Linked DNA regions of Chlamydomonas reinhardtii. The protein of the gene in region 1 interacts with the protein of each later gene in a pairwise test. Links are inferred from orthologs where the notes say so. Each region holds a gene or a part of one and is shown in the gene's direction. Other genes may lie near its edges. The genes, in order: CHLRE_12g498100v5 and CHLRE_16g651500v5.

Evidence for each region.
Region 2: the proteins of CHLRE_12g498100v5 (region 1) and CHLRE_16g651500v5 interact in binary tests that used the Arabidopsis thaliana proteins (3 or more experiments, as listed by UniProt). The link is inferred for Chlamydomonas reinhardtii from reciprocal best matches to the Arabidopsis thaliana genes EIF3E and FUS5.

What each region holds. Positions count from the first base shown.
Region 1 is NC_057015.1:3,274,236-3,289,084, forward strand, and holds CHLRE_12g498100v5 (uncharacterized protein), read left to right. Parts: upstream 1-5,783; 5' UTR 5,784-5,860; coding exon 5,861-6,016; intron 6,017-6,175; coding exon 6,176-7,306; 3' UTR 7,307-8,885; downstream 8,886-14,849. Other genes in the region: CHLRE_12g498150v5 (uncharacterized protein), read right to left, coding at 25-371, 593-1,987, 2,190-2,585, 2,721-3,416, 3,538-4,376, 4,584-4,751, 5,017-5,145, 5,439-5,482; CHLRE_12g498050v5 (uncharacterized protein), read right to left, coding at 9,238-9,555, 9,767-9,925, 10,160-10,465, 10,666-10,884, 11,094-11,156, 11,452-11,643, 11,910-11,993, 12,224-12,295 and 6 more. UniProt on the Arabidopsis thaliana protein: Component of the eukaryotic translation initiation factor 3 (eIF-3) complex, which is involved in protein synthesis of a specialized repertoire of mRNAs and, together with other initiation factors, stimulates binding of mRNA and methionyl-tRNAi to the 40S ribosome.
Region 2 is NC_057019.1:1,295,201-1,310,039, reverse strand, and holds CHLRE_16g651500v5 (uncharacterized protein), read left to right. Parts: upstream 1-5,532; 5' UTR 5,533-5,782; coding exon 5,783-5,929; intron 5,930-6,124; coding exon 6,125-6,200; intron 6,201-6,493; coding exon 6,494-6,582; intron 6,583-6,842; coding exon 6,843-6,980; intron 6,981-7,420; coding exon 7,421-7,491; intron 7,492-7,806; coding exon 7,807-7,939; intron 7,940-8,210; coding exon 8,211-8,395; intron 8,396-8,709; coding exon 8,710-8,722; 3' UTR 8,723-9,289; downstream 9,290-14,839. Other genes in the region: CHLRE_16g651600v5 (uncharacterized protein), read left to right, coding at 1-147, 287-370, 720-863; CHLRE_16g651550v5 (uncharacterized protein), read right to left, coding at 3,447-3,566, 3,951-4,051, 4,539-4,677, 4,763-4,848, 4,913-5,070, 5,204-5,304; CHLRE_16g651450v5 (uncharacterized protein), read right to left, coding at 10,565-12,308, 12,524-12,630, 12,761-13,119, 13,388-13,656, 13,760-13,959, 14,076-14,448, 14,571-14,788. UniProt on the Arabidopsis thaliana protein: Component of the COP9 signalosome complex (CSN), a complex involved in various cellular and developmental processes such as photomorphogenesis and auxin and jasmonate responses.

The sequences.
Region 1 (14,849 bases):
CCAATACCCGCAGCAGTCACTCACGTCAATTGGCTTGGCCTGTGCCAGTGAAGGTCCCAGGCCTGGCTCCGCACTGCCCGGGTCAAGGTTTGGGCCGGGCCAACGAAGCAGCCGGCCCTCGCCGCCGCAGCTCAAAAGGAAGAGCGGCGGGCCCGACAGCGCTGCAGCGAGGCGGCTGGTGCCGCTGCGGCCCGCGCTGCCGCCTGCGGCGGCCGCGCGGCCACCGTCACTGGCCCGACGCTGCTTGCCGGACTGCGCCGGGTGAGCTGCATCCGCGTGTGCGGCACCCTTGGCGCCTTTAGACGCCGTGTCGTGCGAGCCCCCCGGGTGCTGCTGGGCAGCGGTAGCGTCGGTAGCCGGCGCCGCACCTCCTGCACAAATGGAACGACGCAAGACGTGGGTGGGTTGTATGAGAACAAGGTCAAGCTAACTACGCTGTTACACCCCAGCAACCACAACGTAGCCGCAGCCTGCATCACGTGACAGATCCCCCCCCCCGCAGTCTTCAGTGCATCCTGTACCGCTTTTCCAAACATCCCTGCAACCCCCCCCCCCCACACACACACACGGCAGAAGCAAACTAAGGACTCACCCTCGACCGTGGTGAGGTCGCCCGCAGAGCCGGGCCGCACGCGGCCCTTGAAGCCGCCGCCCGGCACGGGGCCCTTGCTCACGATGAAGCTGGGCATCTGCGCGCTGGCGCCGCTGCCACTGGGGCGGGTGGTGGCCGGTGAGCCCGTGTGCGAGCGCCCACCGTCCGGAGTCATGTGGCCGGGCAGCGCGGACGGCGGCGGCGGGGCAGGCGGTGGCATAGGCGCAGGGGGCGGCGGCGGCATGGGCGGCGGCGGCAGCGGCGGCGGGGCGGGCGGCGGCGGCATGGGCGCGGCAGGCGGCGGGGGCATGGGCGCACCCCCAGAAGCGCCCTGGCCGCTGGGGCCGGGCCGCCCGCGGGACGGCCCAGCAGCCGTCCTCTGGTGCTGTTGGTGGTGCTGGTGCTGGTGCTGCTGGTGCTGCTGCTGCTGCTGCCCGTACTGGGGTGCCACGTGACCGTACGGCTGCTGCTGGTGCATACCATGTGCGCCGTACGGCAGGCTGTTGAAGTACGGTGCGTGGTGCGGCTGAGGCATGCCGCCCTGGAGCGGAAACTGCTGCAGAGGGTAGCCCTGGCCGTAGGCCTGCGGCGGGTAGCCCTGCGGCGGATAGCCCTGCTGCGGGAAGGCTGGTGGGAAGGCCGCCATCGGCGCCTGCACATGCATTTGCATGTGGGTGGCCATGGGCATGGGCAGCTGCTGCGGCTGCTGGTGCTGCTGGCCCGGATGCGGGTGTTGCTGCGGCGTCCTTTGGCCGAGCACGCCCTGGTGATACGGCGCACGTGTGGCGCCGCCGGGCTGCTGGCGGCCCGCCGCGGCCTCCGCAGCGTGCACCGTCGCGGCCTGGGCCGCCGGGACCGGCTTGGGCGGCGACGTGGTCGCGGCGGCTTTCGCCTCGGGGCTGGACTGCGCGGGCACAGCAGCAGCACCCTGAGGCGTCGAAGTGAGCACATAGTGCTTGGGTGTGCCCTGCCGCGAGCCCTGCTGCTGCCGCTGGCCCTGCCCATGGCCCTGGCCGTGGTCCGAGCGAGAAGGGCTGTGTCCGTGGCTGTGATGGCCGGCACCCTGCCCGGGCGCGGGCGCCAATGTTGGCGCCACCTGTGCGCCCTGAGACGCGCTGGACTCCTTCAGGCGTTCCGGACCGCCGCGCGAGTTGGGCCGGGGCGGCAGCTGTTGCTGCTGCCCTTGTTGCTGCTGCCCTTGCTGCTGCTGCTGGGCCGCCGCCGCGGCTGCCGCCGCGGCCGCCTGGTGGCTGACATGCGCGCTGCCAGCTGGCGGCGTTACCCAGGCCAGCTGCGTGACGGGGCCCGAGTGGCGCACGCCAAACACGCGGCTGGTCTGGGTCTTAACGTCCATCAGGCCCACACTTCCGTCCGCGCAGCCAAACGCCAGGTAGCCTGTAGGTGACGGCGAGGAGGCGGCCGCTGGGTCAGCACGGGAACTAGCATCAGCCCACTAAGCGGCGGTGGCCGGCATGCAAGGCACAAGAGCTGCCATCCCGCGCTGTGCCCACCTCGGACACGGGCATAGTGCCGCACCTGCTGCGACTGCTTCCCCGCATCCCCTCCGCCCTTCACCCTTCGCCCTGCCGCAACTCACGTGAGTCCACCGGGTGCCACGCCACCACCACCACCTGGTCGCGCACGTCCTTCCACAGAAGGCTGCTGGGCCAGGGGCCCTCCGCGCCGCCTGCCGCCGCCATAACGGCCGCCGCCGCCTCGCCGCCCTTCTTCCTTCCAGAGCCGCCGGCCTCCGGCGCACCATTGCTGTGCACCTCAGCTGCAGTCTCGTGCTCGTCGACGTGCTCGTCAGCAGCGGCGCCCTCGGCATCAATTGCGCCCTGCTTGCGCGCGTGCTTGGCAGGCTGGTGCGGGTCGTGGGCGTGGGCATTGGCCGGCTGAAGCTGCGGCCGCTTTGCCAGTGGGCCGGGCGTCAGCGTAACGGCACGTATGGTGCGGTCGCCGCAGCCGACGGCTAGGAGGCCGGGGAAGGGGCCTGCAGGCGGTGCAATGGGGGACAGGTGACGAAAAGCCATGCGACTGGATCGAAATCTTGCATACGTGGCTCAGCCAAGTTTTGCAAGCCCAAACCCAACCGGCTGGCCGCACTCCTGTTGCAGTCCCAACTCACCCTTGAGGTCCAGGGCGTGCGGGTAGCCGCCCAGTCCCATCAACCGCCACCACACGGCCCCGCCGCGTGGCAGCACCAGCGTCGCGCCGGGAGGCACCAGCGTCGGGCCTGCCGCCCGACCACCTCGCGCCGGGCTGTTGCCGTGGCTGCCGCCCGCCGCCGCCTCGTCGTACAGCACGGCCTGCTGCTGCGGCGAGGGCCGGACGCGCCAGTCGGAGCACGTGTCGGCACGGCCCGCCGCTAGCTTGCCGCGTGCGCCGCCGCCCGCTGCCGCCTTGCCATCGCCGTGGCCCTCCGAGTGCTCGCCGCCCTCAGACTCGTGGCCGGGGCTGGCGCCATGCTCCTCCGCCCCGGAGTCGTGGCCCTGCTCGCCGGCTGTAGCAGCAGCGTTGGCTACGGGTGCGGCGGCGACTGCCACAGCCGTGCCGCTGGCGGCTGGCTGCAGCTCCAGGTCCACCACCAGGAACGCCCGGTCCTGCGAACTGGTTACCAGCCGCACCTGCGGCAGCAGTAGACCAGAAGCGGCCGGCTGCGCCGCCGCGGCGCTGCCGGTACTGGCGGTGGTAAGCGCGGTGGTGGTGGCGGTGGCTGCGGCAGTGGCAGTGGTGGCCTCGTGCGGCACGCGCATGGCGTGCAGCGTGAAGACGGTGCGGGCGTGGTGCTTCAGCCGCGTTGCCAGCGTAAACTTGCCGGTGCCTGCGGGGCGTAATGATTCACGTGCCACTTATAAGTGCATCGTGCGACAATACATGTGGTCTCACAGAAGTCCCTAGCGCAAGATACACAACTAACCACCCAACACGTGCCTGCCACTCACCCACAGACACATGGTAGACCAGCACGTGGCCCCAAGGCGCCGCCACAGCCACGCACAGCTCGCTGCCGCTGCCCCCCACGTCGCAGCCCGGCACCAGCGCTGACGGCACCCAGGCCTTGCGCGACACCGCGCCGCCGGGGCCGCTCGGGCCGCTGCCTGGCTGCTGGCCTGCAGGCGGCGGAGGCAGCCGCAGAGTCACCAGCGGCTGCGGTGGCGGCGGCGCCGCCAGCACAGGCGTCGCAGCAGCGCTACCATCACCGCCAGCAGCGGCGGCTGCAGCCGCCTCGGCCGCGGCTGCTGACAGGGCGGCTGCGGCTGAGATGGCGGGGAGGCTCCACACCTTGGCCTGGCAGTCCTCTCCGCTACTGAGAATCCACAGGTCGGGCGCAGCAGCAACAGCAGCTGGAGCCGCTGCCGGCTCACCGGCCGCGTCCTCCCCGGCCGCGCTGCCAGGCGTGGGTGCCGCTCGTGCTTCCTCTACCGCCCCCGGCGCCGGTGCGCTGCTGCTGCCGCCGCCACCGGCGGTGGTGACGAGCGGTAGGCCGGCCAGCTGCAGGCTGTGCACACCACCGCGGTGGGCCGCCGGCAGCGTCAGCAGCACCGACGCCGACGCCACGTCCACCAACACGATGCTGCCATCGGCCAGCCCTGCAATCACGCGGCCGCTGGCCCCGGCGGCGGGGCCGGTGACGTTGACGGCGACCAGGCACTGGACGCGGCTGGGCAGAAGTGGCGCCGTGGAGCCCGCGCGCGTAAGCGGCTTGCGGACGCCGGTCTCGGGCACCCACAGCACCAGGCCGCCGGAGGCATCGCCCGCCACAAACTGCAGCACCGGCGAGCTACGGCATTGGAAGGGTGTGGGCAATGGAGCCGTGTTGGGGCCGGGTGACCACAGGACATTCACGCGATACCTACCAACGCTTGAGCATACCACCTCGGAAACTCCAGAGTGCAGACTGCCCCCCTATACCAGTCCTTGGCCATCAAGGTTACCGTACCGCAAGCCCCCGTAACCCTGCGAGTGTCCGAACCGACATGAGCCCCACCTGGGCAAAGCCACCAGCGCTGTGACCTCGGGCGCCTTGCCCTTGCGGTGGGTGCGCACCGGCTCCCCGCTGACCATGTCCCAGCACCTCAGCGAACCATCTTCGCAGCCCGCCGCCACCAGCGGGCGACCACCGACGCTCTCAGGCGGCAACGCCACACATGTCACTCTGCACGACAGGCCCGCGGCAGGGACACGCTTGCGAGCAAGTCCTGAGCGGCATGTTGGGGTTCCACTACAGTGGCTGTTCGCTATGCCAGGGCCAGGACGTTGCTGGCACGTGAGGACATGCGCCACCAGATGTGTGCGAAGGCCGCGTCGCGGCTTCAGCAACACGCAGGCCGAGCGCAGGCAGCAAATTGCATGTGCTGCCCGCAATCATCCCGACCCACCCGCTGCCCACCCACTACCTTGCAACCCAAGGCTGTGCGCACCTGCTCCCGCCCGTGGGCAGCATGCGCTGCACGGTGCGGCTCTGCGCGCAGGCCACCACCACCGCGTAGTGGCCGCCATACGCCACCAGCTGCTGGCTCGGCAGCACCGCCACCACCTGGCTGCTGAACCTGTGGGCATGTGAGGCGCATCAGTGACCTTACCAATGGGTGTGATGTGGTCTGACATGTAGGGGCTACGAGCTATGTGGCATAGCGCGGCGCAATCGGCGGTTGACAGTGCGTGCGGCTGTGACCCCGGCCCCTGCTTCCGGAATGCGGGTTTGCGGCCCGTGGGCGCACTGGCTTGAACAGGCCTGACACTCTAGCCCTTGCACCACTTGCAAAACGCATCAAGAGTACAGGAGCAGCGAACGGCGTGGGCAAAGCACGGACGCTGGCTCCCGACTCCCGACTCCGCCTACCAGTTGGGGGAGGGCGGCAGGACCACCGCCGACGGAGCCGCCATTGTCTCGTGATTGGCTGCGCTGTTTCTGGGCTCCCGCAACCCTCACCAGAGTCGCGTAGGCAAGCGCAGAGAAACGCAAGAGTGTGGCGATAGAGATCACGTCATTTCCCTACAGAGAAAGGGAAATGTGCCGATGCCCTATCTATACATACACCTAACCTCTTATGTATTAGTTCGGAGTCCGAAAGCCCGTTTTGAGCGGGCCAGGCCGATGGGCACTCGGACCCCCATCCGGCACAGCGCGAGAGCGGGCTGCGCACCGGGGCGTAGATCGCCCGTTCCTTTGTCATTCCCGCAGCCCCCACCCCATAATTGTTTCACAGCGGACTGGTCAGGCCTTAGGACTAGGCAAGGGGCGTAGCCGCCGCCGAGAGAAAGATGGCTGCCACCAACTATGAGCTTTCTTCCAAGCTGGTCCAGTATCTGGACCTGCACCTTACGCTGCCTATTATGGAATACCTCCAAGAGCGCGGCCTTTACAATGAGGACGACATCCTGCGCGCCAAGCTGGCGCTGCTGGACAAGACGAACATGGTACGCGCTTAGTGTTTAGATCTGGAGACCTGGCACTTGGAATGAGCTATTGGACAGGCTGGGGATGCCGGAAGCGGGAAGGGCAGCTCAGCGAGTGCAGAGGCCATCGGCCTTTCCAGTTTGAGTCCGGGTCGCTGAGCGAAAAATTCGATGTTGTAGGTGGATTTTGCGATGGATATCTACAAGGGCCTAAACGGCGTGGACGAGGTGCCTGCGGAGATGAAGGACCGCCGCAGCCAGGTGGTGGCGCGTCTTCGCCAGCTGCAGGCGGACGTGGACCCCATTATCAAGTGTCTGCAGAACAGGCATGTGGTGGAGAAGTTCCGTCAGGATAAGAGCTTCAACCTGCAGTTCCTCCAGGAGGAGTTCCAGATTGGCGCGGAGCACGTCGAGGCGCTGTATCAGTACGCGCGCTTCCAGTTCAACTGCGGTAACTACTCGCTGGCGGCGGAGCTGCTGCAGTCTTACCGCACGCTCTGCACCAACAGCGAGCGCAACATCAGCGCACTGTGGGGCAAGCTCGCTGCGGAGATCCTCATGCACGAGGCGGTGAACATCCAGGAGGCACGGGAGGACGTGTTCAAGCTGAAGGAGGTCATCGACAACCAGACGTTCGCCCCCCCGCTGGTGCAGCTGCAGCAGCGCACCTGGCTGCTGCACTGGTCCCTGTACGTCTTCTGGAACCATGAGAACGGCCGCAACGACATCATTGACCTGTTCCTCTCCCCAGCCTACATCTCCGCCATCCAGATCAACGCGCCGCACCTGCTGCGCTACGTGGCGGTGGCTGTGGTCATCAACAAGAAGAAGCAGCGCAGCGTGCTGAAGGAGCTCATCCGCGCCATCCAGCAGGAGTCGTACGAGTACTCGGACCCAGTGACCCAGTTCCTGGAGTGCGTGTTCGTGCACTACGACTTCGACGGCGCCCAGCAGAAGCTGAAGGAGTGCGAGGCGGTGCTGGACAACGATTTCTTCCTGGCGGCCTACAAGGACGAGTTCATTGAGAACGCGCGCCTGTTCATCTTCGAGACGTACTGCCGGATACACCAGTCCATCTCCATTGCGCTGCTGGCGGAGCGGCTGGGCATGGACCAGGAGGCGGCGGAGAAGTGGATTGCCAACCTCATCCTCAACGCCAAGCTGAACGCCAAGATTGACTCCAAGTCGGGGACGGTGGTGATGGGCACGCAGTCGCAGTCCGTGCACGAGCAGCTGGTGGACAAGGCCAAGATGCTGTCCGTGCGCACCTACGTGCTGGCCAACACCGTGGTGGGCAGCGTCAAGCCGTAAGGCACCGCGGCGAGCAGCAGCCGGGGGAGGAGGAGCAGCAAGCAGGTGGGAGTTGGAGCCATGGCGGCGGGCGGGATGGGGTTGGCGGGGGCGCGGGGATGCATGTGGGCCAGGGGGTCGTCTGGGGCTTGGTATTGGCGGGAATGGGGTGGAATAGAAAGGCAAGCTCTGGAGGTGAAGAGTGCTGGATTCCTAAGGGATTGGTAGATGGGGTAGCAATTGCATTGGGCAGACGGCTGCTAGGCCCAGTTCCAGCGGTGCTCCGCACGCGGCATGGCAAGGAAGGGGACCCGCGGCCTGGTAACGGACGTGCAACAATTCGCCGGTTGATACGGAAGAAGCCCTGGGAACTGCGAAGAGGTTCGAAAGGTTGACGTGACGAGGAATCACTTTACCTCAAGCTCTGATCGCCATCCATCATTCCCTTTTGCCTTGTAGATTGCGGGCTTGCTTGTGGACGACAGCGGTGTGCAGGGCGCGGTCTGCCGCTTCGGCAGGCGATTCACGACAGCAGCGAGCTTTGAGTTACGGGATTCCGTTGCGGGATGGGCAGCTTTCTACAGCAGCAAGCGTGGGAGCGCTGGCGACGGCTGCTGCACGGATCAGACCAGGAGCGCTGGGCGGAGGGCGCGGCAGCGGGTGTGGGACAGCGCTGGCGAGCGGCGTTCGAAGGTGCTGATGAGATGAGCAGTGACGTAGACGGGCGACAGCGGCTTTGCAATACAGTGAAGGGCGGTAGGAGCGCGGCGGCTGGAATTTGCAGCAGCTGCACGATTATCCCATGGGCGGGGCGCAAGGGCATGCTTGTTCAGCGACGTGAGACGGGGGGGTCGCCCCCTTGGCAGTGTGTTCGCGCGCGCCAGCAGCAGCGCGTGCCGGGGGGCTGTGCAGCCGCGGCTGGCACGGACTCGGCAACGCTTGTTCGGGTGAGCTCATTGGATGGGCTGTCTCGTGCTAGGGAGGCGGTGCATTCGCGTTCCCGTCGGGCTGGTGCGCTGCAGGCAATGGATTTCCTGGGGCTAGGGTCGGCATTGCCCGCTGCTGGTGGCTGCAGAGTGTACCTGGACGGGCACATGCTTTGGATAAGCCTGAGCGTGGACCGGCGTGGGGGCAATCGGCGTTGGCGTAGTGAGGAGCAGATAGGTTCTCGTGTATGCAGGCAGTGTGGCAGTGCGGCAGTCCGCACACGGGCTGTGGATGTAGGTGTGAACGCTGTGCCAACGAGACTGAAACTACGTAGGATTCGGGCTAGACCTAAGAGGACCATTCGGGGGAATAGGGGTCGGGACAGAATTTCGCAAGCGCAGGCAGGCATTTTCGCTTTCTTGCAATTCGGGTGTTAGCGGGTAGACATGGATGAGACGAATGGGGTATCTAGCGGGTAGAACTGGATTATGTGCGTATGATGGCATCACCATAGAGGCAAGAGTAGCCTCTGCAAAACTGTAGCAGGCTAGATGCACTAGTGCAGTGGAGTGAGGCATGTGATGCAAGGCAGGTGCTGCGCCCGGTTTTGGTTCGTTGCCGCCGGGGCTGGGGCCAGCGCCCGTTTGTGCTGCGACACGTTGTTACATGAGGACTGGCATTGTCTGTGTCGGTCTGCTCCTGCATTCATATGCGGTTATGCGCGGTGCCGGCGGTGGTGGGCATTACTTGCCGGTGCGGTCTGAGACTGTGTCGCCGCCTAACTGCTTACTGGACTCCCACATATACTTCAGTTCGGCGCGCAGCACTACCCCTATCCATCCTGCAGACACGGAGTCGGTCAGAAAGCAGAAGTACAGATCCCGCCAAGGAGCGTAGGACCCGCCGCCAACCAAGCGCATTCTATCCCACCTGAACGCTCGCTTGACAATCGACACCATGTACTCCGACCACATAATCTTACTCCTCCAGCAATAACCCCACAGCCCCGCTACGCCCTTGTCTTCCTAGTCATGCGGCCGGTCCAGCGGCGCGGGCCGTATCGCCGCCGCCAGCCGGTCCAGGCTCTTCTCGATGCGCGCCCGCAGCCCCGGCTCGCCGCACACCACCTTGCCCGCCCGGTAGTCCACAGCGGCCTCCACGCCGTCCACGTCCAGCCGCACCAGGCCGCCCGCCTCGTCCACCGCCGCCGGCCCGAACTGGCCGCGCAGCAGCGCGCCAATCAGGTGGAGCTCGGCGGCTGCGGCTGCGGCCTCGTCGCCGGCGGCGCGCGCCGCCAGCATGGCGGATTCGGCGCTGGTGGCCTCGGGCGGCTCGCCAATGGACTGTGTTGTAATGGGAACGGAGCGATGGGAAACTGCGGGCTCAGAGCGTGCTGGAGCAAACATGAAGTGACCCCAGATTGCAGGCGCCCTGCCCTCCATTGCCGTCCCATGCACCCGCTACATCCTCAACACCCGCCCACCACGCCTGGCACCCGGTGCCCATTCAAAAGCGCCCGCCAGCCCGCGATCGCGTCCTAGTCCGCCCCCTCACCTGCAGCACTACAGCCACCACCGCGTCCGCCACCATGTCGCCCTGCCGGCCTCCCTCCCACTCCAACACCACGTGCGACACCACGCCGCTCGCGTCGTCCGCCGGCACGTAGCGCACCGTCACCAGCTCGCCCACCACCACCGCCAGGCTCTCGCCACCCTTCACGAAGCATTGCGAAGCGGAGGACGACAAAGCGGGAGGGCAGAGTCAGTGTGAAGATGCGAGCAGGCTAGGGTGGGTACCTGAAGTACAGTCCTATTGCTCCACAGATCCACAGCTGTGTGAATGCCGCCAAACGGCATTTACGCAATCACAGCCTCACAGCCATATCTGCGCCCAGCCCCGCACCACACGCCTGCACCCACGCCTGCACCCAGCGCCACCCACACCCACCTTGCCGCCCTCCGCGTCCGGTGCCGTGGCCACGGGCAGCGTGCCGGCTCCCTCCACGCCCTCAAACATCACCTCCAGCGCCAACCGGATGGCGGTGAACGGCACGTCCACGCTGATGGCCTGGCGCTGCGTGACACTGCCCTTGAGCAGCTTGGTGTATCGCGGCAGGTCGGAGGGCGCCAGCAGCTGCGTGGCGAAGCCGCCGCCCTGCCGCACAAGCACGCCGCGCACGGCCGCGCCCTCACGCGGCGGCTTCTCGCCCAGGCGGCCCTGCAGCCGCACGCTGCGGTCGGGCTTGTGCTCCACCTGCAGCAGCGGGGCGTTGGCCGGGCGCATGCACACACATGAACAAACACATACATATTAACGAAGATGTACTAATATTGCATACATGATGAGGCCTAATACGGCCTGGTTGCTCAAATCTCGCCACACGCCCCCCCCATCACCCCCAATCCTGCCCCAGCCCCCGCCCCCAAACCACGCCCCTGCTACAGCCCACTCACCGCCACGGTCTGTGCCAGTATGGGTGTGTACACCTCGCGCGCCACCCCCGCCGCCTTGGCGCCGTCCTTGAGCGCCTTGGCCAGCTTGCGCATCTCGCCGTACTCGCCGTGCACCAGCACCACGTGCGGCGGCCGGACCGCGTCCAGGAAGCCGGACGTCTGGTCGTAGTCAGCGTGCGCGGAGAAGGAGATGTTGTGCACCGCGATGCGCAGCGGGACCTGGCGGCGGTGGACATGATTGGGGAGGCATTGCCGTTAGTACTGTGCAAGCCCGACGCCCAGGGCCGGAGCTAAGTGATGGGGCATTGGGGTCTTGCCCAGCGTTGCCGCACGCTAAGTACTGAACGAGCGCGTTGGCTAGGAGGGGGCGTTCGAGGTGGGCGGACCGGGCCCTGCCCCCGCGAGGTCTCGGGCCAGGCGGCACCCACCCTGCGGCCCTCCCGGGTGGTGATGGAGCTGGGGCCGCCCAGGATCTCCTTGGCCAGAGTGCCCTGCGGTGGAGAGGGCGGCAGCGGCGGCGGTGGTGAGCTAGGCATCGTGAGAGGTACGTATGGTACCGAATCATAAGTTATGCCGGCTGCAAGCGGCATGCCCGGAGCACCGTGACGGAAGCCTCTGTCCAGCACCCGTCCCCGTCCACTCCCTTAGGCCCTGGCACTGCACCCGCACAGACGCGCAGACGAACAAACACATAGACGTGAACGCCCCTGAGCACTACAGCGTGCACACCGACGCACGGACGCACACACACGCCCCTCCCTAAACTGACAGCCCGCCTCTCCTCACCTGCACCGCGAAGTCGCAGATGATGCAGGTGTTGCGGCTGTCCTCGCACCAGGCCTCAAAGAAGTCCCGGCTGGCGCCACTCTGCAGCCCCGAGGGCGTGGCCATGATGACGCAGGGGCCGCTGTAGTCGGAGATGAAGTGGGCGGGGTTCTTGAGCGTCTGCACATGCCGGAACTTGAAGGGGTTGCGCTCCTGAAGGGCCGCGACGGGACGCAGAGGGGCAAGGGAAAGGGGGTGGAGACATCGTTAGCGCGTGGAGCGGTCGGAGAGCGCTGGACGAGGGCAACAACTGCAACAGTAAGTACATAATGGGAAAACCGCTGCGGGGCTGTCAGCACGGGTTGGGCCAAGCCGCAGGCGCCGCATGTCGAGCTACCGGGCGCTGTCCCTCAAGGGGGCCCCAACCAGCCCCCTTGGCCCCCTTTGGCCCCGCCCCCCTTGGCCTCGCCGCTGCTCACGTGGAAGACCCTCTTGATGTCGTCGTTGAGTGACTCCACGTACGTCTGGTACACACCAAGTGCCTTGCTCATCATAGAGCTGGCCTGTGGGGCGGGTGGGTGGGGTCCATGCATACTACTTTGTACGACGATTTGGGGGGGGGGCCCGGCCGGAGAAGAGTGGAGGAGGTTCTGAAGGAGTAGGCGTTGCTACTGGGTGCGTTGTTGAGAAGCTAGGCAGCAAAGATTTAATACATGCCAGCCCTTGGGTGCCGCCAGCAGTCGGAGTGCGCATTGGTGAGCGCACAAGCGCACAAGCGCACACACACACACACCTGGTATATGGGTATGCCGCTCAGCTCCGACTTGTGCGCCTCCCAATACTCGTCCAGCAGCAGCAGCAGCTCCTGCGGGAGTGGGGGCACAGGCAGGCGGCGTGGCCACACGGCAGGTAGATTGCATTGGGTATGAGATGGGTAGGGATGGATGCGCGGGACTGGCAGTGCGTGCGCGAGACCACAGCCCGCCGACCAGCCATGGCTGCTTTGACAAGTATCCTCCTCCCCCAGTTCCCCTCGCGCTCGCCGGCTGCCCCACCTGCGCGCGCCCCAGCGCCACCACGGGCATGATGACTCGGCCGCCGCGGTTGATGGTGTTGCGGATGGTGTCCAGCAGCAGCTGCTCGCGCTGCAGGCGGGGCAGGTGCCGGCTGGTGCCGTACGTGCTCTCCACAATCACTGCAGCAAGCAGCAGCAGCAGCAGCACCGCAGCACAGCAGCACAGCAGCACAGCAGCACAGCAGCAACAACATGAGAATTCGCATCGCAATCCACTCCACGCATGCGCATGAACAAGGGCAACAGGGACACTGCTGGCCCACCATGACCCGCACCGCCCGCACCCCGCCACCAAGCCCCGCCGGGGCCCCTACCCTGTGTCCCTACCCTCCACCACTCGCTCCAGCCGCCGCCGCCGCCACCAGCTCACCTATGTGCGGCTTGACGGGCGGTATGTCTGCCGCGGGCAGGTGCCTGTCCGGCAGGCGGCTGTAGTCGCCTGTGTAGAGGCACCTGCAGCCCGCCACCTCCACCAGGAACATGGCGGCACCCAGCACGTGGCCGGCCCGGTACGGCGTGATCTGCAGGCGCAAGGGCAGCAGCAGGGGGGATTGTGTGCGCAAGCCTAACGAAACACGGTAGGTCCCAATAATCAAGGTATAGCCGCCCGGGGGGAAGAAAGGGGAGCTGGTACGGGCGAGCAGTGCAGCGACAGAGCGCGAGCAGCAGCCACACCATGCAGGCCACACGGCGCGGATCAGCGCCTCGGGACCTGGCGCTGATCCGTGGCGTGTGATCCGGGAAGCGGCCCGCGCATTTGTCCCAGCGTGCTCTTGCTGCACCCCACCCTCCCCACTTGCGCTGCCCCCACCCCGGTGCTGCCCGGCCCCGCACCACCGACTGACGCGCCCACCGACCCAGCCACCAACTCGCCCACCCAACCACCACCACCTCCCACCTCCCCGCTGCCCCCTCGCCCCCACATCCCGCCCCCCGCCCCCAACACACACACCCGATCGCACCTGCATTCCCGCCACCTCGATGGTCTGGTAGAAGTCCACCACCTCGATGCGCTGCATGCTGGCCTCCAGGTCGTCCTCATTGAACAAAGCCTCCTGCAGGCGGGGAGGCGGAGGGAAAGGGGAAGTTCGTTCCGGAGGCCAATAAGAACCCGAGGAGAAGTGGAAGCAAGCTGTTTGCACCGTTTCCATGATCATCAAGATTGTAAAGAGAAAGGGGGCGGCAGAAGGGGCATCGCGGCGATTTGGTGTGGGGGGGGGGGGCGGGGTGGGGGTGACAAGGACATAGGGCGCCCTGACAGCCTTCGTGAGTAAAACCCGGCTTCCCTCTCCCTCCTTCCGGGCCGCCACGGGCGCCCTCCCCCACCTCCCGTAAGTCTTCTCGCTGGCGACTGCCGCCTTTGCCTGTGCTCCGCTAATTTGGCTTGGCTTAGTTTAGCCATTCGCATGAATGGCTACCCCCCTTTATTTTAGGATTCGAATGAACTATCCCCCCAGCCCCGCACCTCGCTGCTGTGCTTGGAGCCCTTGGCCAGGTCCCGCAGCAGCGAGTAGTAGATGGCCTTGGTGGGGTGCGTCATGAAGATGCGGCCCTGTCCAGTGAGAGGAGGGGAGGAGAGGGGAGCGGAGGATGTGCAATGGATCAAATACAGGGGCAAGGGTGCAAGCAAGCAGGAAACGCAGCAAGTAATCCCGGCATTCGGGCAGCAGAGATAGGGGTGTGGAGTTGAAGGGCGGGGGGCAGAGCGGGTTGCGCCGTGTGTGCATGGCCCCGGAGGATGACGAGTGGAGGCAGTACGCTATACTGAAACCCACCAAACCCGCCCAATCCTGGGCGGCACCGACGTGCGCAGCGTTCGCCGCGGACCCACGCCTCTGCTGGCGGGCGACGTACTGCGCTTGCGGGCCTTGCACCCCGGCTGAGTCTGTGCTTTACTGCCCCTCCGCAACAGCAGCTCCATCATGCCGCCCAGCCTCCAACCCCTGCCCTACCGCCACATTCATCCCGCACCTTGAAGCGGGTCTTTCGCAGCAGGTAGGGGACCGCGGCGCAGTGATCCAGGTGGAAGTGGGTGATGAGCGCCACGTCCACCGTGTCAATGTCGATTTCGTCCAGCAGGGGCAGGCTATCCATTCCCTTGAAGGCGGGATGGATGCCACAGTCAAACATAACAGTCTTGTCCCTGTGTGCGGTGCGTATATGTAAGCGTTCGCGACGAGCGTGCTGGCCATCGATCACCCCGCACTCACTGGTACTTGAAGATAATACATGAGCGGCCCACTTCTGAGCCAGCTCCTAGAGGAATGATATGTGCATGCGTGGACGTGTCAGGCTCGCCGTCAGCGGGCCCTTCATCTATTTTCCGCTTCGCCGTTGCTGCCAT
Region 2 (14,839 bases), on another chromosome or scaffold:
GACGCGCTCACGGCCAGCACCAAGGACGGCTGGTGCCTGCTGCACACGGCGGCGCGCGCGGGGCACGGCCAGGCCGTGGAGATGGTGCTGCGGCGCTGTCTGAAACTAGGGATGTTTGAGCCATCAGCGCTGGAGGCCGGCACCTGGGTGAGTTACGGAGTACAGCGGGCGTGCCGCCTGCCCGCATGGAGTGCAACACACTCAGCCACCCTGGCGGCCCGTCCCACCGCCGCCCTGAGGGCATGCCCCATCTGGCCAGCCACTTGTTCCATCGTCGCCCGTGCAGGTGTTGCTTTGCGACATCTCGCACATCAACAAGCACTACCGCCGCACGAATGCCCGCGGCGTGCTGGACGCGGCCATGGAGCGGGTGAGTGGGAGCGAGCGAGCGGGCTGGTGCGTGGTGTGGCGGCGGGCGTGCCGGCAGCCGTGTAGTTTTATCGGGTTCGGATGTTGGGCGGCTCCACGGGTCCCGCCAATACCAGGCCACGTTCGCCTGCGTGCCTCCGCAATGCACGAGGCCAATTGACGCCCATTGCCGCCCAGCCAGCCAGCAACTCGTCGGTACAGTAACTCCGGCGTTCGACCAGCCGCGCACTCCTGCCCTGCCGCTGCCAATTGTATGCCATTTGTTGGGTTCTGGGAATCAGCTGCACCCTACGGGACTTCACCAACTTGCCTTACCACTGTCCCATCACACGCCCATTGCCGCCCGGCAGGTGTGGCCGGACCCCTCCTCGCGCCCGCGCGTGCGCAACGACGTGCAGAAAGATACACAGCTCAAGGCGCTGATGACTGGCCTGAGCCTGCGCTACCTGCGCATGGGGCGCCTCAGCCTCAGCGGTATGGACACAACTGATTAATGAACATCGTTATGATGCCCATCGTACCTACCAAGAGAGACACGGAGCTGCACGGAGCAAGGAAGGAAGAGGCACATGCGGTATTCCGCGGCGATGTCCCCGCACGGGGCCAACGCAAACAGTGCGTGCAACAGGGGTACATGCAATTACGTTCCGCTATGTATGCTACGCAAGCCATTATGTGGCTTCCAATGCTATGAGCATAAACGCTGGTCGGAGCATACGTAACTTTCGAACGGAATAAAGGCATGTCAGCACGTCAGCGCGCGTGCTGTGTAGGGGTCAACCCTAGCAGCGTGTGACACACAACTTGGGGGCTTCTGTCGTATGTGTTAGTTGCTACGTACTTGCTTGCTCGAGGTTGCTCACGATACTGCAAACAACATACCTTGCACAGTTCTGAGGTGTGTGGACTGCGATACGAAGGACAACGGTTTCTTTCACACTGTTCTGAGGCACAAGCACAGGCCTGCTGCATAGCCACCATCACGTACACAATGTTGCAATGCTGCGTACCTACGGTCGCGCAGCACGAGCCAAGCCAGTAGATTAGGCTGCAAGATGCGCAGGCGTGTGTGCGTACGGCAGTGTTACGGTCCTGCATTGTGGTGGTGCATTGTGCACGTGGCGCACTACCGTATCGTGCGCAGGTCTTTGGTTTGAGCGCTTCGCTGCATTCCATGATGGGGTTGAGTTGACAAGCTATTGAGCTGTCTGATTTGGAGATGTCGCACATGATTTTCGCTTGGCATTCTGTTGTTAGGGCGCAGCCGTGTCTTGTGCCGTTCGGCCGGGACCCGTGCATGCGTCTCTTACGGTACACGGCCTTTGTGTCACGTGTCTCCGCCGCCCGACCAGGTCTGCTTACACATAAGACTCGCGGGGCTTTACCCCTGCCAATGCGCCGCTGTGTTGGAGCTGAGTCGGTGGCCGAGTCGGGGGTGTTGTCTTTGCTGAGGGGAGCGCGGTCTCCCCGGTTCGACAAGGCGGAATTGTTCACCATCTTTTGCGGTGCCTTTGCGGTGCCTTTAACAGTCGTAGCTGTCTTTTGTAGATACACACAGGACAGCAACAGGCAGGAGGAGCCGTAGTTGTTCACGTGCTTGCAGTTGTTCGGTTGGCCGTTGAACCATGCTTTCATTGGTTGCAAGGACAAGAAGAGACAGTCATATGAAAGGGACATTCATGTCAGGCCAGGGAAAACGCCCTGCCCTGATGCGCAGGGACCTGTCAAGCACCAGATGAGCCTTGCGCCTGTGCGCAGCTGTGCGCAGTGTTGCCTTTGCGTAGGCGGTGGAGTGTGTTGTCCTCGGATGTTTACCGTGCAGCTCTGCAAATGGCGGCTGAAATGGCGCTCTCTATTGGGCTGTAGGCGCGGTATTCACGAAAGCGGAGAGTACCCCTGTCACGTACCACGGCTAATGAGAAGGCAAAAGCGGCCCTGGCCAGGCGTCAGGCGCTGACCCTGGAGGAATGTGGGCGGCATGTGTTGGAGGAAACTGGACGCGACCCTGCCTGTGCATCCGGTGGATGGGAAACGCATGACGGTTGAGTGTAGGTGGATTGACAGGGCTCAGGCGGGCTAGGCGGGGCTCAGGCGGGTTCGGCGGGGTCTAGGCTGTCTGTGCGTACCGCGTAGCTGTGGGAGGTAGACTGCGAACCAGGGCAGGGTGGTTTCCCCTTGTCTGGCTTGAATATCCCTTTGGTTGCATTGTCCCTTCTTGTAACCTTCATGCAATGTGCTTGCAATACTTCAGGCGCTTGGGGGCGTCGGCCAGGGTCGGCCAGGGTACAATCCGATCGGCGTACTGGTACAGAAGGTGGTCGCTTGTACTCGCAATTTTGTTACAAGTGACTGCCTCCAGAGCCTCCTCACCGCGTCTTCGTGGCACTTGAATGGCATGCACCGTGGAAGAGGATTACACCACACCCAGTCCGCTATGACCTAGCAGCCTACCCGTGTCCGCCCAAAACGCTCCTCGTCCACTACCTTGGTCCTTGCGCGGCAGTTCCACACCGCCTTGTGACATCCGCCTAGAACTGCAACCTGAATAGCTTTCCCATTTGAAAGCACGGATTAACCCGTACACACGCCATAGGTGACACGGCACGCCACACAAACGCGTTCGAAATCCGCTTGAAACCGTTAGCAGCCTGACTTGAGACCCAATCGCACTGTCCGCGTCTCCGCATCCCCAGCCTTGAGACGCACGGCGTGGCCCCGCCAACAGCTCGTTGCACGCAACCATAGTTTTACGAAACAGGACAGCGACAACGGCTGCTCCGCGCCGGGGACCGCCCTGACGCGCATCCCCACCGGGCGCAGCCATACATTACGGTCAGCCCGCTGCCGTGGCAGGCCTAGGCCAAGGGCGCACCGCTGCAGCTTCTGCGTAGTCCCAAACTCAGCCGCTCGCCCACCAGCGCTGTGCCCGCTTCGCCGCTAGCTCGCCAGCCGCTCCGCCTCTCAAACACCACCTGCCGCCGCACCAAAGCTCCTCCACCACAGCCACCGCACCCGCCACACCGACTGCCGCTGCTGCCGCTGCTGCTGTTGCTGACATCGCCGCCGCCGCCAGCCGCTTAGGGCGCGCGCACAGGGCCCACGGGCGACACGGGCGCCTCCATGAAGGACGCGCCCTCGCGGAAGTAGTTGACGGCGCACGCCTGCTCGCCGTTGGCGCCCACGGGCACCACGTCCACCTGTTTGTGCGTGCACGTGCGCGCGGGCAGGCGGGCGGGCAAGGTTGCGGTTAAAATTGCGCGGCCCATCTGGCATATGGTAATACGGCTATGCGTGTGCGTCTGTATCTGTTTGCTGTTATGGCACCGGCTCGGCGCATGGTTTGAAGCTTTTGCTGCCTTCAAGTCCCTGTCGTGCGAAGGCCCTGTCCACGTCATCACCACCTCATGTGGCTCCCACGCAACCCGGCGGCCGCGGCCCTGCTTGTGGCCCGAACCCCAACCCCAATGGCCACGGCCATGCAGCCCCACTGTTCATCCAGCTCTCGTGCCTCGACCTGCACATCCCTCCCCCTGAATCCCCAGGGCCGCCGCGCCGCCTGCTCCCCCGCCGCGCGCGCTGACCTGGATGCGGGCGCGGCCCTTCACCAGCTCCGAGCCGTCCGCGGACAGCTTGTACTCGAAGATGCGCGGGTGCTTGAGCACCAGGTCGGGAATGCCCGAGTCTGCAGGAGCACAGCAAAGGACAGGCAGCAAACCCGGGCTTGGTTGGTGCCGGGTGGGAGTGCGTACAGCTGTTCTGAGTGGCAAGCCGCATGGCTCCGTGACGGCCAGGCCACCCCCGGGCGGACGTGCAGGATGCTGCTGAGGCAGCATCGGGCTACGTTGGTGTAAAGCTGTGGTGTGCTCGCCACTGATGCCGCCGTGAACACGGGCGCCTGCCCTGCCGGTTCGGTCGCCTGGTCGCCCTGTTCGGTCGCCTAGTCATTCCCACCCACGCCCGTCGGTGGTGAGCTGTCTGCTGCGCAACCCTGGGCTCCTGCAGCCCCAGCTTGGGGCGTGTGCCCTGGCCAGGACCGCTGCATTGCCCGCCGCACTGGCGCTGGCCCGTCCGCGGCCGTGTGCCGTGCACGTGCAACCTCCAAAACCCTAACCCCGTTCGGCCGAGCGCCCGACCCCAGCTGCACACCCCAGCCCCCTGGCTGGCCTCACCCGGCACGCCTCTCCGCTTCAGGTAGTCCACCACCGACTTCAGGCGGGTCTCCGGGTTCAGGCCCAGCAGCACAACGCTGATGGACGCCATGTTGCAAATCTCATCCTGCTTCAGGCCCACACTGGTCAGGTAGTCAACCTGCGTACCCCGACCAAGACGCGTTAGCAACACTTCTTCCAGCGAGACGCGTCCATAGCGTCGCGAGGGGTCAACATTCACTCACCACGCCCTTGGCGCGCTCCTCGGTGGTGCGCAGCATCCCCTTCATAGTGCGGTCCACAATCTGCTCAATCCAAGGCTTCTCCCAGCCTGCATGCAGATGGATGTTAGCACGTCGCGCTATTACGCTAAAACAGAAGCGCGAAAAACCTACCGAGCGCAAAGAGCATCCGCTGCACCTTCTCGATAGAGGAGGGCAGCTTGTAGGGATCCTTCTCAGACCATGGCAGCGGCAGCTCGCCAGGGGTAGTCTTGGTGATCACGGTCTTAGTGTCGGGGCTTTGCTGGGTCACCCGCACAACGATGCTCGCCCTGCGCCGCACGAGCGATGGCCACGTCAATACCGCCAGCAATGCAATAAATCGGCTGAAACTTAAGCTGATGCAGTGACGTGGCCGCGGTGATCAGGGCGGGGCTGCGACAACGCCTGGTTTGCCCGCCGCACCTCTGCGACTGCACCGGCTGGGGCTTCGCAAATAGCTTCGACTGCGTGCGGGAAGAGCACGCCACACCTAGGCCTTGCCGGCCAACCAGCATAGCGGACATACTTGCGTTCTGGCCCTAGGTAACTCCGCTTGAGGCTTAAGATGTCGCGTGGTACGTTTCCCTCAGATCTATGAATTGTGCCGTGTGCCAAGTACGCCTAATTAAACATAAATGCGTGCGTCACAGTCAAGCACGGTCGGGAGAGCGCTCGTAGAGCGAGGGGGGCCTGCACTCATCATGCGGTCGGCACGCGAGGACCCTACGCCATTCCGCGTGCACAGCTTCATACTGAAGAGTTTGACTTTAACATAAACATTTATGCCCGCGCCAATAGAATTGCCCATAAGCTTGAACCGAGGGTTCTGAAGTTCAGCCAGCATTTCTCCTTTAACTACTGCAAGACTTTCATCGGATAGGTCCTCGTCCATGCTGCAGTGATAGGCAGGGGAGAGCTCCTTGGTCTCCGGAACTAGCGGGCAGATCCCGCTCCTACGTCTTTAGCTGCGCATTTTGGAGGCACTAGGCGAGGTCTGTTATCATGGACCAGGATGCTAAGATTCAGCAATATGTGCTGCTGGCGAAGGGCCTCCGCGGGCGAGGCCTGACGGACCTCATCGCTAAGGCAACCGGGGACCCCGCTGTGTTTGGCTTCGGCGAGCTGTTGGATGTGCAAAGCGTAAAGGAGGTGAGTTTCGCTGGCGATTTGCCATGGAGGGGGCATGGGCCCGCACACAAGGGCCATGGAGGGAAGGAGTGGGTGCACGGGTGGTGCCGGGTGTGGGTTTCGTGCGGCGTGTCAGGCGGGGCGAAGCTTTGTTGGACGCCGTCCCCTTCCTCAGCTGAGTCTCACAGTCGTGCGCCGCGCACATATACTGCGCAGCTGCAAGGAACCGACCTGGCGTCCCACAATGCGCTCCTACAACTCTTCGCATACGGCACGTGGTCCGACTACCAGGGTGAGACGCACGCGGGTGTGGATGGGGACTGGTGGTGCCTGCCACGGAATGGAACGGTTGCTCCGACCACCACATGTGCATGCGCTTGGCGCGTGCCAAGGCATCCGTGCGGTTGTCCATGCCCGTCTAGGCCGAAGAGGTATTATCGAGGGGTTTGAAGTGGAGCCGTGTGTCAAGCGTGCTGCGGTCAGCCGCCGTTCTGTGATGTGTACGTGCACGTCTCGCATTGTTACGCACGCGTGTCGATATCGCCTATAATGCCTCTCACACCTCCCACACCTCATAACCCACAGCCAACGCGTCCAGCCTGCCGCCGCTGAGCGAGGCGCAGGCGCTCAAGCTCAAGCAGCTGACGGTGGCGTCCCTGGCCGCGTCGGAGAAGGTGGGTGGGTGTGCGGGCAGAACTTTTCAAGGCTTGACGCATCCAGAGTACAGAGTAGGCAGCTGCTGGTCCTGTGCCTCCCCAGTCACCATCATGACTCCCGCATCTATGCCTGCCCCTGGTCGCGGGAGGGCCCACTTCCCCCTCCCTCCCCTCCTGCCGCGCCGCCCCCCCCCGCGTCTGCTATAATACTGAATTACTCTTTCTGGCTACGCCTTCACATCTTATATAGTCATGAATGTAACCCCCCCCCCGTGCAGGTGCTGCCATACAGCCAGTTGCAGTCCGCGGTGTCCATCAGCGGTGTGCGCGAGCTGGAGGACTTCCTCATCAACCACTGCTTCTACGCCGGAGTCATCACGGCCGGCAAGCTGGACCAGAAGCAGGCCTGCCTGCAGGTGGGCGCGTTGGGGCGGGGCGGTTCGGGAGCGCGGGGGAGGGGACGTTTGGGGTTTGGTGGCAGAGGCGGGCGGGCGGGCGGGCTGCGGGCGACGGAAAGCGAAGCAGCGAGTCATGCAGGGCGGGGGTTAAGAGGGGCGTGGTGGCAGGGGCGGAATGACGCTTGAGTGAGGGTGGGTATGGGGAAGATGCAGCAGGGTTGGGGCGACGGGCTGGGGCGTTGGGTTGGGGCCACGGGCTGGGGCGTTGGGCGCTGAGGTGTCTGTCCTCCAGGCGGGCGGGAGGTGATAATTTGTGCGGGGCACGTGACGGCACGGCCGTGCATGCTTGGCCTGCCCGGGACCCCAGCGGACCCCTGTCCGACGTGGCCCGGGGCCGTTCGGATGCAACACCTGCTCCTGCCGTCTGACGGCCACTGCCTGCCTGCCGCCGGCCTCAGGTGCACGACGTGATCGGTCGGGACGTGCGGCGTGAGGACCTGCCGCAGATCACACAGCGCATGGCGTGCTGGTGAGTGCGTGCCACCTGGGGGGGAGGAAGGGCCACCTGGGGGGAGAATGGGGCTACGGCATTCATGGATGCGGCTGCTAGCTCTCAAGTTGGCGGGTGGGCCAGGTACAGGTGCCCGCTCATGGTATATTCCGTATCGGATATCGCTGGGGGGGAGACGAGCGGAGCAGGAGCCGTGCAGTGCACTGGGGTTCGCCGCCCAAAGCAAGTCCAGCGCGACGAAACCTGCGGCCGCTTCTGACGACAACGCTACTCGACACACTACAACACAAACCAGGACGAAACCATGTGACGTTCCTTAACGAAACATTACAGGATCGCGGCGGGTGATGAGCTGCTCCGCGCCATCGAGGCGCGGGTCAACTACGCGACCGCCACAGCCGACGCGGCGCGGCAACACCGGGAGGAGCTGGACGCGCGCATTGAGGAGGCCAAGCGCAACATCAAGGTGCGGCAGGGATGTGTGAATCTCTGCTCAAAATTCCATCGTGGCCGCTGCGTACCCAGACTTACCCAGACTGGGCTTCTGGCTTTGGAACCGACTCCCCCGCGACCGCCACTACCTGGTAGTCCTGCCTGGAACCCTCATCCCCCACCCGCCCACCCCACACCCCACCACCACCCCCCACACACAAACACACACCCCACATCCCACACCCCACCACTCACCGACACACCACAACCCCCCCACACCGCCATCCCACATTCCAACGCCTCAGGCCGAGGCGCGCGCCAACGACGCGCTGATGGACGAGGGGCTCATGATGGGCGGCTTGGACATGATGGACGAGGACCGCGTGGGCACAGCCGGACTGGGGCTGGGGCCGGGCGAGCGCGAGGAGCGCATGATGATCATGGGGCCGGGCGGCGCGCGCGGAGAGCGGGCGCCGGGGCGGCCCAAGAGGTGAGCGAGAGCGCAGCAGGGGATGTGTGTGTGTGTGGGGGGGGGCAGCAGCGCAGCAGGGAGCGCAGCAGAGGGCGCAGCAGAGAGTGCAGCAGAGAGTGCAGCAGGGGCTGGAGGCAGTGGGGCGATGGGGTGGTGGGGCGGAGTGTGACGTGGGGTCGGGGTGTTGGGGGTGCGTGGAGGCGCGAGTTCTTGTTGCCGTGAATGCTGTGGCGGCGTAAGATGCGCTTCGGGGGCTGCTGGTGTCGCTGTGCCCACAGACGGTGTTTGCCACAGACCGTACTGACCCTCGGGTTGTGTGTCCCTTCCCACAGCAGGCGGAGGTAACTGGGCAGCAGTGCTGAGGAGGCACGCAGACTCGCGAGAAGGAAGGTTGTGGGCGGCGCAGAGCGCTGCGTTGCACCCGCGCATGTGGGCGTGGGAGCTGCTGGGTGCGGCGCCTAGGCATCTGGGATGGACGGGTAGGCGCTTGCTTGGATTTGTGAGCGCCGGGGTGGCTGGTTTTGTTTATGGCTGGCCGGCTGGTTGGAACCCGGAAAGGCAGGTTGAGAGTGGCAAGCTGTTGCTGCGAGCGAGGGGGAGCGCGCAGTCACCGGTAGTGCGCAGCCTGCGGCAGTTGTTGAGTAGGCGAAGCAGGCTGAATACGCAGGAGTGAGGCAGGGGCCACAGGAGTGCAGCTTGAGACAAGGGGCTAAAGGACTGCAGGGCTGGAATGCCCCCACTACACACGTTCACGATTCTGCTCCTGAACCTGCTGGGTGTGTGCGTACCGTGGCGATTGTGTTTATTGGCACGTGTGGGTCAGGGCACACATCGCACGGTACTGGTGCCGCCATGACGGTCGCCGCACGACAGCTGCTTTAATTCCATGAATGTACGCAAACCTGGGACTAACATTTGAGCGAGCCACCTCGGCGCGTCCTGGGCGGTGGAGGGGGGGGGGCAATCCTGTCAATTGACTCAGTACCCGATCAGCCGATCTCAGTAAATCGACGCTCGGGAATCAGTCGGGATGTACCCGAGTCTGCAGCACCTCCTTGAATACCGTACATCTTCCTCTGTTCCTCAAACACGGCACGGCACGCACCCGCTTGCTATGTGTCGTCAGCTCTTTCGGCGTGTCCCGGCCCACACAGGGCAGCAATGCAAACGCCAACACACAGAAAGACGCTGATGCCATTCGACTTTCCTTATGTTCACCCTTCGGCAGCAACCGCACAGCAATACCTTGACAACCACATGCCATTATGACGGTTGCCTATATATCAACTGGCACGGCCTTCGCAGCTATTTCTGTCAGCTATTTTTGTGCCTACGCAACCCCTCTTTCACAGCTGCAGCTCCAGCGACACGGTATATGCGCCGTAGAAGACGGGTGTGGTCACTAGCGCCTGGTGGTGGGAGATAGCTGTAAGCTTTCCTTTTTGTGTCAAGGAGGTGAAGGAGCGCGAGATTGGAGGTGTCAAGTCGTTTTTGACGGGTTGTAGATCCCATCCTGTTGGCAGCCCTGGTTGCATATGGCTACGGCCCTGGCCACCTGGGGCGGCTGGATCAGGGACGCGGCAACGTGCATACGGTAACTCTGCTGCTGAACAAATAGCATGGCTTGCTTCCTATCTCGCAGTTGGCACAAGCTTGGGCTCTACAGATACCACGGTACGGCCAAGTAAGCATCACGCAGAGTACATGCACCAGGAACATGCAACAGCAACATGATAGTTGACACCAACTCCAACTTTGTGACCTCAGCCCCCTGGGCCCTCAGCTCCTCTCGTGCACAGCGCTTAATGCCTGCATGGCGCGTCTTCTTCGCCACACCGTGCCAGGCAACCACCAACACGCAACAAGCAACGTCACACACCTGTATCCCTTCGTGGCGTTCCTGACGAATAGCCATAACCGTCAGAATCCGCGCTACTCCACGAACCTTGCCCTGTCAACGCAACCGAATTCGACTTTCATGCAGCATGCCACGCCATTCCCTTTTATTCTGTGTCCATGCAGCCGCTTACTTAGATTCAGGAAGTCAGAAGGCTACGGACATGGTGCTACATGTTCCCCATCGACATGGACCTTTGTTTTTCCCAACGCGCCTCCGGACTCCAAGGAGTTAGTGGGGCCACATGGACTTCGACGATGCAGTTGCTGCAGCCCATTTCCAATTTCCTCTCACAGCTGCAGCTGCAGCCCCTCCACCGCCTTCTCCAGGTCACTGCGCGACATCTGCGATTGACGGCCGCGCATCACCAGCAGCTGCTGCACCTGCGGCCGCCGCCCCTGCACCAGGCGCCGCAGCTCCGCCTCCACAGCAGCGGCCTCTAGCTTCGCGTTCCCATTGCCCAGTGCGGCGCCCGCAAGGCCCGGGCGGACCCGGTAGGAGGTCTCGCCGGCAAACACCCGCACATTGATCAGCTGACGGACACCCAGCCGCTCCTTGAGCTGAGCCCATGCAGTCGCAGGGGCCTGCGTGATGCCAGCTGCCGCCATCCCCAGGTTAGTGACCAGCAGCGGCGTCTTGGCCTGCGCTGGGAAGGCCACCGCCTGCCAGGCGTAGGCCAGGCTCACGAGCAGCGGCCCATCCGCTGCCGCGGCACCGCTACGGCCAGCAGCTGCGGCGCCTTTGGCCGCTGCATGCCAGGCCGCTGCCAGCAGCTGGTCTGCCTCGCGCTCCGACAGCAGCACCACCTCCCCGCCCGCCAGCACCAGCAGCCAGCCCACCGGTCGCAGGTAGTCGTTCAGCGGCTGGTCATCGGGCGGGTCCGCGATGGCGTGCAGGTAGTTCTGGGTCACGTACACCTTGTCTGACCAGGGTACAGCGTCCATGGGCTGGGTCGGGTCCTGGCTGTCCAACCAATCCACCGCTGTAGAAAGCGGCTGCAGCGTGCCGTGCGCGGTGGCTGCTTGCAGCTGCACCAGAGTGGAGGCTGTGCACGCGGTGGAGTATGATGGCCAGTCTGTCTCCAGCCGGGGCTTCTGCTTCGGCGGCTGCTTTTCTACCTCCTGCTCCTCCTCTTCCTCCTGCTCCAGCTCCCGCTCACACTCCTCGTCCGCGCCACTGCCGGCGCGGACGGAGTGGCCCTCGCCGTAGCGCGCCGCCAGCTGCTCAAGCTCATCTACGATCTTCGCTGCTGCTGCTGCCGTTGACCCAATGCAAAGACTGCTATCAGCATCGCCGGCTGTTGCCGGCCTGCCGCGACTGCCGGCGGCAGCCCGGGCTGCTGCGGCACAACTGTTGGTGCTGCCACCTGCGCCACTGCCACGGCGTAGCCGCGCCTGCTTCGCGGCCGCCGCCACCACATTGCCAACGGGGTGCGGCGCCTTGCTGCTCGCGTAGAGCTCTCGCAGGCCCAGCACCTCATCCTGCACAGAGCGCTCCGGAGCGCCGAGGGTGGTCGCGAAGTGCAGCCCCTGCGCCGCCCACTGCGCCACGCCGTGCAGGTTGGCGTCCACGGTGTTGCCCATCACCCACGCCAGCACGTCGACAGCGCGAGGGCCTGCGGCTGCAGCAACCGCAGCCGCTGCGCCGCCAGCTGCTCCGGATGCTGCGGCGTACTCCACCACGCGAGCAGCAATGTCAGCGGTTGCAGCGAAGCGCAGTGCCTGGCCGCGGCCCAGCTGCCGCAGCCGCCCCGCCGCCTGCATGAGCTTGTCCTTGCACACGCGCGGCCCCAGCGTCAGCAGCCCGACCGCGCTCCGCTGTAGCTTCAGGTCCGCGCCACGGCAGCGCGCCTCATCATATAGCACGAAGTTTTCGTGCTCCTGCAGCGGCGAGCTGGCTCGTGGCAGGCAGCGGCCGGTGTGCTCCAGTACCACCCAGCCGCGCGCCGCCTCATCAAAATAGGTGACGCCGCGGAAGCCAAGCTGCTGCAGGCGCTGCAGACGCGGCCCAGCTAGCAGGAACACAGCAGCGCGCCTGGGGGACGGCGGGCGAGGCAGGAGCGACGGGAATGAGCAGTTGTCAGGACGTGCGCATAAGGTTACAGCAAGCCTTGCGGCCCGCCGGCAGAGGACCGGACGGATTGCAGGATGGAAATTGAGAAGCAATTGGTAAAATCCGCTTAGCGGTGCTTCCGTGAAGTTCGCTTAGACACAAGACTGCCGCCCCTGTCAAACAGAAGAACTGGGCACCTGTTGCTGGTGCCCGCCATCAGTGCGCCGCAGTCCTGTACCGCATGCGCCCCAGTGTCCAGCGCCATCTGCAGCAGCGACTGCCACACAGGCACGCCGCCAGAGTCCTGCGGTGCGGCGGAGGTAAAGGGTTAGCACCGCATCACCTGTACTTGCTGGATGCCGCCCGGCGTTGTGTGGCCTAAGTCATGAAAGTAAGCTGGCGGTGTATGCAAGTGCGCTCGACTGACGCCTCACCTCTACAGACGGCAGTGTGTGGAAGCCACGAGTGCAGTTGATGATCACGTCCAGCATCCTGCCGTTCGTGGCCTTCAGGGCAGCGTCCTCTGGCACCGCCTGGTGCACGCGCAGCGGCAGTAGCCGGTAATTGTCATTGGTGCCGCTGAAGCCCATGACGCGGGCGCCCGCCGCCGCCAGGTCCCAGGCACTCGCCCCCAGCCGCTGGGGGTACTGGCGGGTCTCGGCCGGCAGCACACAGAAGCGCAGCCAGAAGTCCACCACAGCGGTGTTGCGGCGCAGGTGGCGGTGCATGGCCGCCATCTGGGAGCTGCTGCTGGCGTCCAGCTGGTTCACGTCCGCAAAACGAGCCAGCTCGTCTGCGAGGGTGTGCAGATTGGCCACAACACAAGCTTGAAAGAACCGTCGCATAAAGAGCCAGGGAACGGCACTGGGAAAGAAACCGCGCGGTTAACAGCAGCTTGGTCACGGCTGCAAGATCACATGTCAGCCACTCAGGTGCATGATGTTGTGATGGGTGCGAACATAACATGTGCTGTAAAGCATGTGCTGAAACAGTACACTACCATGAGCACACCAGCAACGTGCAACCAAGCAATTTCTCTCCCGTCGCACTCCCTCGCTCACCGTGCGGGATGCTGTCAACCGAGAGCTCCAGCCACTCGCGATAGTGGTCCGCCGCCGCCTCCTTGCCCAGCCCGTGCAACAACCGATCTACCGCGGCCGTGCACTCAGGCAGGGTCAGTCCGTCATAGCGGTATGCCAGGTGCGTCAGCAGCAGCGCCACGTCGGGCTGCGCGAACTCGGACCGCTCCGAGGGCGTGTGCGCGGCACCGTACGGCACAGCCATGCGCGTCCGGGCACGTGTGGCGCTGCTCGCGGTGCTGGCTTTGCGCCTGCAAGCATGTACGGCGGCGTAAACACTAAGACAAAACTCAAGCACTTCTTCTTCAGTTCTTTAGTTGTGGATGCGGTATGCGCCACCCTCACTTCCCTCACCTGTCGATGCCGTAGTCGACCTGTTTCCGCAGCGTCAGGCCGTGCCTCAGGATGCCGCAGCCCAGCAGCCCACGAAGCGCCAGCACGAACTCGTACAGGCCCGAGCCGCCGCCCGGGCCCGTCAGCTTGGCCATTAGCTCCTCGCCCAGCGCCTCCTCGGCACTCGTGTTAGTGCCGGTGATGCAAGCCACCACCCGCTCCTGCATAGATGCAATACACTTCTTCTGTAGAGACCTGGCGCTATCCAGGTCGTACGTCCACCAAATTTCTTGTTGTTGCGGGCCGTCCAGGGAAGGTGCACACATGTGGTCCGCACCTTCATCTCCGGGTCCAGCAGGTTGGCCATCTTCTGGAACTCGAACGGCAGGTGGTCCAGCACGTGACGTGCCAGCTGCTCGTGGAAGGCGGGCAGGGCGGCCTCCAGGTCTGGGCCCGGCAGCAGCCGCAGGCCGCAGAACATGCCGGCTGTGGCAGCTGCCGCCACAGGGTCCATTGTGCCTCCGGATGGTGCATCCTCGTCCGGACTGGATGTCATGGGTGGCTCCAGAACACGGCTGGCGTGCGGCAGGAGGAGCTCACCGCTGTTGGACAGGAAGGCGATGGAGTCGAACACAGCGCGGATGGCGCCGGTGCGGGCCTCAAAACTGACCAGAGGGGCCTTGCCGCCACACGCGTAAATGAGCTGATACCTACGTGGGGCAGCAGAATGAAGCTACATGAGCAAAGGAACGGTTTGGACCGCACAGCTACCAACAGCAGTACTTATGAAACGTTCCGCTGAGTGCCCATACCCGGTAGACCTCGTGCCTACCGGTGGTGCAGCAGCTCATCGCTCTCGTCCAGGATGCTCAGGACGGGGTCGCGCAGCAGCGCCGCCAGCTGTGTGACAACCTGCTGCCGCAAGCCGGGCGAAGCACTGACCGCTTCCGCTGCAGCCATACAATCTTGCGTGTGATCCAGAAGGAGCTCCTTCCATTTGAGCTCCAGCGACAGGCGGTGCTCGGGTGCCACCAGGAGTACTCCACGGCCCTGTGAGGACACATGCATGCATACCGTCAATGGCCAGCACGGCACAGAGTC